2 linked regions of the Arabidopsis thaliana genome follow. The protein of the gene in region 2 binds, or shares a complex with, the protein of the main gene of each other region. Each region holds a gene or a part of one and is shown on either strand. Other genes may lie near its edges.

What was found.
Region 1: LSM3B (region 2) and LSM6B share a complex: the UniProt entries of both Arabidopsis thaliana proteins name them as parts of the heptameric LSM1-LSM7 complex.

What each region holds. Positions count from the first base shown.
Region 1 is NC_003071.7:18,147,618-18,151,837, forward strand, and holds LSM6B (Small nuclear ribonucleoprotein family protein), read left to right. Parts: upstream 1-1,579; 5' UTR 1,580-1,758; exon of another isoform or gene 1,759-1,957; intron 1,958-2,082; 5' UTR 2,083-2,107; coding exon 2,108-2,222; intron 2,223-3,006; coding exon 3,007-3,120; intron 3,121-3,215; coding exon 3,216-3,262; 3' UTR 3,263-3,678; downstream 3,679-4,220. Other genes in the region: AT2G43800 (Actin-binding FH2 (formin homology 2) family protein), read left to right, coding at 1-204, 286-1,104. UniProt on the Arabidopsis thaliana protein: Component of LSM protein complexes, which are involved in RNA processing. Component of the cytoplasmic LSM1-LSM7 complex which is involved in mRNA degradation by promoting decapping and leading to accurate 5'-3' mRNA decay.
Region 2 is NC_003070.9:28,853,906-28,857,547, forward strand, and holds LSM3B (Small nuclear ribonucleoprotein family protein), read right to left. Parts: upstream 1,846-3,642; 5' UTR 1,733-1,845; coding exon 1,616-1,732; intron 1,280-1,615; coding exon 1,184-1,279; intron 773-1,183; coding exon 689-772; 3' UTR 509-688; downstream 1-508. Other genes in the region: SEC5A (exocyst complex component sec5), read left to right, coding at 1-66, 156-377; AT1G76870 (transcription factor), read left to right, coding at 3,345-3,642. UniProt on the Arabidopsis thaliana protein: Component of LSM protein complexes, which are involved in RNA processing. Component of the cytoplasmic LSM1-LSM7 complex which is involved in mRNA degradation by promoting decapping and leading to accurate 5'-3' mRNA decay.

The DNA of each region.
Region 1 (4,220 bases), on a different chromosome or scaffold from region 2:
GCTCCTACTAAAGAAGAAGAGGACAAGCTTAAGGAGCTTAAAGATGATGATGATGGATCTCCTTCCAAGATAGGACCTGCAGAGAAATTCCTCAAAGCATTGTTGAACATTCCTTTCGCCTTCAAGAGGATTGATGCAATGCTTTACATTGTCAAGTTCGAATCAGAAATCGAGTACCTTAACAGATCCTTCGACACTCTCGAGGTAAAACTCTACTTGTCCACCTCATAAGTGTATGTCTGCTGATCAAACAGATCATTCATATGCATTTGATCAAACTCTCAGGCTGCTACTGGTGAGTTAAAGAACACGCGGATGTTCTTGAAGCTTTTAGAAGCCGTGCTCAAGACTGGGAACCGGATGAATATAGGAACCAATAGAGGGGACGCACATGCTTTCAAGCTCGACACGCTCTTAAAACTGGTAGATATCAAAGGCGCGGATGGGAAAACCACCTTATTGCATTTTGTGGTTCAAGAGATCATAAAATTTGAAGGAGCTCGGGTTCCTTTTACTCCGAGTCAAAGCCATATAGGCGATAACATGGCCGAGCAATCCGCATTCCAAGATGACCTAGAGCTCAAGAAACTCGGGTTGCAAGTCGTTTCAGGTCTCAGCTCTCAGCTGATTAACGTCAAGAAAGCAGCGGCAATGGATTCAAATTCCCTCATCAACGAAACAGCGGAAATCGCCAGAGGAATAGCGAAAGTCAAGGAAGTAATCACGGAGCTAAAGCAAGAAACAGGTGTAGAGAGATTCTTGGAGTCAATGAACTCGTTCTTGAACAAAGGTGAGAAAGAGATCACAGAGTTACAATCTCATGGAGACAATGTCATGAAGATGGTTAAAGAAGTAACAGAGTATTTCCACGGGAACTCGGAAACTCATCCTTTTCGCATTTTCGCTGTGGTCAGAGACTTTCTGACGATTCTTGATCAAGTGTGTAAAGAAGTTGGACGCGTAAACGAGAGAACGGTGTATGGATCCATGCCACTACATTCGCCATCGAACCAGACCGCCACGCCTCTGTTTCCGGTGGTTATCAATAACAACTCACGGCTAAGTCCATCGGGTTCTCTAGACGACGACGATGGCTCGTTCTAAGTGAAAACTGTTGGCTCGGGTTTGGTTCGGTGTATGCTAATGTTTTGGTTTCATTTGCTACGTACTCAAGTAATATATGTGTTATACATATTTATATTTTTATTGATAGGCGAATTTAAATAGATTTTGGCAGATTGTTGCAAGTTGCTATCATCGGGCTCTGTACGTGTTCCAGTCCTCTGTTGAATTATTTATGTCACGTGTAGATGTATTTATTGATCTAAACCTAAAACGATAGAAGAACTAAAGTCTTGTGAAAAGTTAAATTATTGCAAGCTATACTATTTACAAAATGTAAAAAAAGAAACTGAAATTATTCTTTTGTTTGGTTCACATTAGGCATTTCCAAATTGCTGATGTCAAACATCTTTGCAAAGTTCTTCTCCCAACGAATTTTGAAAATTCACCATTTTCACGATTAAAATTTTAAAATTGACTAAAAAGTTTTAATCTCGCACATAATTAAACCACAATAAAAAAACTTGGACTTCGGATTGTTTTCCATGTGGGCTGATTCGAATTTGGGCTTGGGCCTTTTTAATTGTAATTTTATTTTTACTTATTTGTAAATGCGTCACATGTCTTCTTCGCTCTGTTCGGCTGCTTCATCGAGCGGAAGTCTCTAGCCAATTACCGTTTGTTCGTGGACTCGAGGTTCGTTGTTCTTAGATTTCCCAGACTCATCTGTTTCTGCAATCCATTTCAAAGTTTCTCTTTTTACTTAATCCAAGTCATTCGCGCATTTCCTAATTGGTCTGAGGTTTAGGGTTTTAGGGCACATAGTTTTGTTTGATTCGGGAGTAATCGTTGAGATGCTACGAGTTTGGTATTCAAGATGATTCCTTTTCTCAAGGTCTTTATGTAATTTGATTGATTTATGGATCTCGAATTGCTGACATGAATTTGTTGCTTAAAGTTGTTGGCTTTGTGGGATATTCTGAGGGGTCTTGTTTGATTTGGATCTAATTTGGTGGGCAGATATTGTGGTTTCTTAGCAAAGAAGATGAGTGGAGTTGGAGAGAAAGCTTCTGGAACAACTAAGACACCTGCTGATTTCTTGAAATCTATCCGTGGTAAACCAGTTGTTGTCAAGCTCAACTCTGGTGTTGATTATCGAGGTCTGTCTCTCTCTCTTTCTGCATTTTGTGTTCTCCTCTAAGATGTATCCAGTTCAAATTCTTTTTTTTTTTGCCTTGTGTGATGATATCTTATAGTTTGCTTCTGATTTTCGGTGGTTATTAAGCTATCGGAAGTCTATGTAAACTTCTTTATCACTTTGGGTTTAGATGTCTCAATGCCTTTCTTTCTCGCCATGTTACTGGAACCTTTGGATGTTGGTTTACAGAATGACTCTTTTCTTTGTCTAAGAACTGCTTGCTTGATTCTCATTTGATTTGAAAGTCCCATCTCTGAAGATTCATTTTTGTTGAGCTTGCTTGTTTTTTCCCTATCTTGTCTCTGTGTTTGAGAAGGAATAATACATTTCGGCTTGAGATATTTGCTTTGGATTTTGAGAAATATAATCTAGATGAGCAGGAAATTAACATACGGCTTTGAAACATATGCTTTTTGGAATTTGAGAGGAATATTAGATTCAGATGATAGCTTTGTGAATTGAGAGAGCTTCTCTCATGAGATAACAGACCCAAATGTGGTTGAATTTGAGATGCATTTACTCTTGCTTCTGATAGAATATGGACTCTCACCTTGCTATGGAGCCTTTATCACCTGAAATTAAGACCTTGGTCTCTTGAACTCTATAATATAACTTACAGGACTAGGAGAACTTCTAGCTTGAATATCTTTCTTTGGTTTATCTACAAAAGTCAGACTTATTCTTTCTTTGGCATATCATGTTGTATCAATCTACATATGACACTTTGTCTCTCTTCTTGTTTGCAGGCATTCTTACTTGTCTTGATGGATATATGAACATCGCAATGGAGCAAACCGAAGAGTATGTAAATGGCCAGCTGAAGAACACATATGGCGACGCTTTTGTCCGTGGCAACAATGGTAAAAACCAAATCACATTCATCATCACTCTTTAAATCGGTTTAGTATGTTTTTTTATATCCAATTCTGAAAAATATGCTCTATGTTGGCCACAGTTCTTTACATCAGCACAACAAAGGGGACATTGTCAGATGGAGCATAGCTCTCTTTCATCACCATGAATGTTCATCTTCTTCTCTACCTCTGGCATATGACAAATGTAGGATTTGTAGCAACCAGAGTTTATCACCACTGCATGAATTCGACATGTCTTTTTCTTCCGCAACTCAGTTTGTGTCTAAATCATCTCCAAAATTCTGAGATATAGCTAGATTTTTATTTGTTATGAAATTTTTTTTAATCACTGTTGGTCTTTGGAGCCTAATTATCGTGTTTTGATGACGCAATCACTGCGTCACAATCTGATGTCATCTTAACAATCATTAATGTATTTTTTTTTTCTTTTCTCGTAATATTCTTAATTATTCTTCGACAGCAAAGGTTTAAAAACTCCTTATTTCAATCATTAATGTATTTATGATTTGATCGAATAACAATAATATAGCTTATTTTGTTCTATTCTATCGTATTTGATTCTTCTTTCGTTTTTTTTTTGTTTGACTTAAGAAACCGATTGTTTATAGTAGTAAACATTTGTTTTTAATGTTGCTCGATTCCAGTGCACATGTCCAGGCTAGACACTTGTCGTTATAAAGGTTGCTTTGGTTCAATATTGATCCACTAGAGATGTTACAACTATTGTTGACATCTGAGATTGTGTGATAAGAAAATATGAAACTGGATTTAGTGAAAGTTACAATATATAATCATACATCATAGATAGGAAATAAGGAAATGTCAGATATACTTGAAGAATACATCAAATAGACAAGGTCCTTTTTCTTATTGTCGACTATTATAGAGCCGTACAGAACCTTTTCACGTCTTTAGTAATTAGTACATTCTCCATTTCGGCTCTCTCTTATTTTTTTTCCATCTCTTTTACTTCTCCAAATAATAACAATAAAAGCTTCGATTTTGTGTGTGTTTGTATTTACATCTTGACATCGATATTCTTTTCATCAATTTTTTACCAAAAATGTAATAAAAACAAAAAAAAA
Region 2 (3,642 bases):
CCAACTCGTGGCAGCGAAGACACAGTTTCAGATGACAAGCAATCTGTTTCAGCAGATGACCTCCTCGTAACACATACATTTCCTTTCTCTTTTCAACAGATTTGATCAAATATCAAAACCTCAATTTTGATCATTTTGTTTTATTTCGTGAACAGGCTCTAACGAAACAGTGTTCAAACGAATTGCTACAACAAGAGTTGGAGAGAACTCGTGTGAACACAGCATGCTTTGCAGAGTCAGCCCCATTAGAGTCAACGCCTCCATTACCCAAAGCTACCTACTCTTCCTTTAGAGGATCAATGGATTCTCCAAGCAGAAACTACAGAGGCTCACAATCATCTGGTTCTCCCATTAATGCCCGACCCAGACGAAGATAATAAGAGACCAACTTTGTTTATTTAATAATTTCTTCTCCGTTTATTTGTACGTAAATGATCATAATTCTCTTGTTCCTGGTGCATTTTTTTGTTTGTTTGTCTGTCTTTTTCAGACTCTTATCTTTATTTGTGAACTCAGATAATTGGGTTGTAATTAGTATATCACACGATCAAAGTATCTGAAAAGCATTGGAAATTTAAGCAAAGTAGCTTCTTCAAGCTTGTTTTAGTTAAGACAAGAAGTGACTAAATACAAGAATAGTCACAAATTCCCCTTACGAAAAGAGGACACAAAAGATTTGAGTTTGAACTCAGGCTGCTGTCCTCAGCGGTGGAGACACCAATATCACTCCATCTCCTCTCACGAATAGAAACTCAATCGTCCGCTTTGTAGTCTGCAATCAGAGATAGTAAACAAAACTAATCACATACATGAGAGACAAAAGCCACTTATCCTAATCAGATCAGAATTGTAGCCCGCCTAGAGGAGTCCCAACAACTAATATGTGTGTGCCTAAGAAGCTTAAAGAAAGAGACTTCTCTACTAGAAACAGTCAGTTACATGGAAATGCCTTCCTAATTTCGATCCAATAGCTTATATCTTCCAGAACAATAAGATTCGTGTAGGATATAATCTCTTGTCTAAGTAAATGTTCTACATTGAGCTGAAACTTCTGTATATAGTGAAAGCTAAAAGACACTTGTACACTTGTTCTCTAACAATATCCTTAACTTGAGATAGAAACTCATCAAGATCCCCCTCAAATACCTATAAAGTTAACTATTGAGTAAGAAAAAGCACGTACCCGAACAATCTCTTCATATGTCTCGTCATCGATTTCTACTGTAGTGATAGTTTCTTCAACATCACCCAGAATCATATTCAAATGCTGATCAAACGCCTGCCCAAAGAATTAACAACAACAACAACATCAAACCTAAGTGAGTAACTCAAGAGTGTAGAAATCTTCCAAAATTTAAGAACTTTGTCAAAATTAAATTTACACAAACCATAAATTCCCAATTGCAAGCTCATCGCCATAACTCGAGAAAACGTTTTTAGAAACTGAAACTTGAAAATCAAAACCCTAGACTTTCCCCCAAAAAAGGACCAAATTCGACACCAAAACAGTGAAATCGGCAAAATAAAGTTACAAAATTCAAACGAACTATGTGTGGAACGAGTATTTTAAGTAGTGACAAGTTCAAGGTACTAAGCAGGGCACAAGAAAACGTACGTGAAGCTTGCCGCGAAGTTCGCGGTCTGACCGGAGCTTGACATAGATTCTCTCGTCGAGACTCAGCCTAATCAGATCTAGTGGCTCCCTCACGGTGGCTTCTTCCTCGCCGGACATCGTGTAGACAGAGATACCTTCCCACCTGAAACACTTCTCGGAGGGTTTTGGTACCGACGAATCGTATAACCGGACACAAACTCTGATCTCGCGGACACGAACTTAACAATTTTGTTCTACGAATAAGATTTTACAAATATATGGCAACAGCCCAACAGAATATTAGGCCCATAAACGAACGTTGGCGAAAAAATGTTTTTTTTTTCAAAACTATCGGCATATTTTATTATTTCAAAGATTATCAATGGGTTCTACTAGCTAGGTTCTACTTCTACCTTGAGAAAATTGAGTTGAGGTCTTGTATGTATAGATATTTCAGTAAACAAATATTAATGTTAGATTTTAATTTTAAAATGTAAATTAAGATATTAAATTTGACGTTTTGTACTTCGATTCGTTTGTTTTCTACTTACAAGCGTTTCACAACTTTTTTCGAGTTGTAACGCTTGACAGTTTCACAAAGTAAGCATACGTGTAAAATAGAATCATTTATTGTGACTAATGTTTTTAACCAAATATGGTATCTTCTAAAACGTGATACCAATCACTTTTTAATCACTATATACAAATTTAAGTTTAATATATTTATATATAAATTTATAACTTTTTTTTATCTGAATTGTAACACTTATTGGTTCCATAAAATAAATATATGTGCGAGAGTATAATAACTTGGACATGATTTGGTGATGAAATTCTACAATATTGTGTTTTTAAAACTCACATTGTATCTACTAAATTTAAATTAATATAAATTTATATGTCCAAACTAAGATAACATAAATTTAAACAATATAGAAGAAGAACGACACTATTGTTAATAATTCGATAAGATACTAAAAAAAAAAAAAATATACACTTTTTAACCTTTTTAATGTGAATTGTAACGCTTCTACAAAATAAGCACACGTGTAAGAGTATAAAAACTTATTGTGGATTTAGTAATGAATCATGAAATGTTGTATTAATGATTCAATAAGGAAGTAAAAAAAAAAAGTTTAAAAAAAAAAACTAATACTTAGATTTCCCTTGACAATCATATCTTTTAATATATAAAAAAACATATAAATTTCAGTTATTTCAAAATTCAAATTCATACTCTACCCATAGTGACTACCAAAATCAATCGTAAATAAATAAATAAAAAAGAAATGGTGGGTCCAAATATCTTCTGATACATTGGACATAAATAACTTTTGTGATTTGTCACTAAAAAAGATTTAGAAACAAGACTCTCTTCTTCTTCTTCCTCTAAATGTTTTGTCCGCCACACGCATTGTCTCAGTGATCAGAGTTCTTCGTCTCTCTACTTGAACTCTCATCTCTAAAACCCTAGACTCTCTCGTCTTCAATCGTTTTAAAAAGGTCCGTTTAGTTTTAGCATGAAATTTTCTCTAAAGATAAGTTTTTTTTTTCGTCTTTTGTTAGCGATGTTTTATAGTTTATCGAATTCGTAGTGTTTGATTGCGATTGCTCTGTTTACAAGCTTACTTTGATCGGATGATTTAGGTTTCATATTTGGAGAAATCCATCTAAGAAAAGTTTGATTTTGAGGAGAAAGACTGAATTTTTATTTTCTCTGATTCAGATTTTTCTTTTGGAAACTGTAGAAATGGAAGGAAATTGCTCGCAAGGACGCTTTGATTCTCAAGTTTCTTCTATGAGAGATCTTCGTCCAAATGCTATAAATCAGAATCAGAAACAACACCATCCAAATTCTCGACAAGACTCAGGCTTTAACAATACTATGGATACACGTCACAACAATGTCGACAGAGGAAAGAAATCAATGAGTGAAGATGATGAACTATGTTTGTTAAGTAGTGATGGTCAAAACAAGTCCAAGGAAAACTCTCCTTGGCAACGTGTGAAATGGATGGATAAGATGGTGAAGCTAATGATAACTGCTC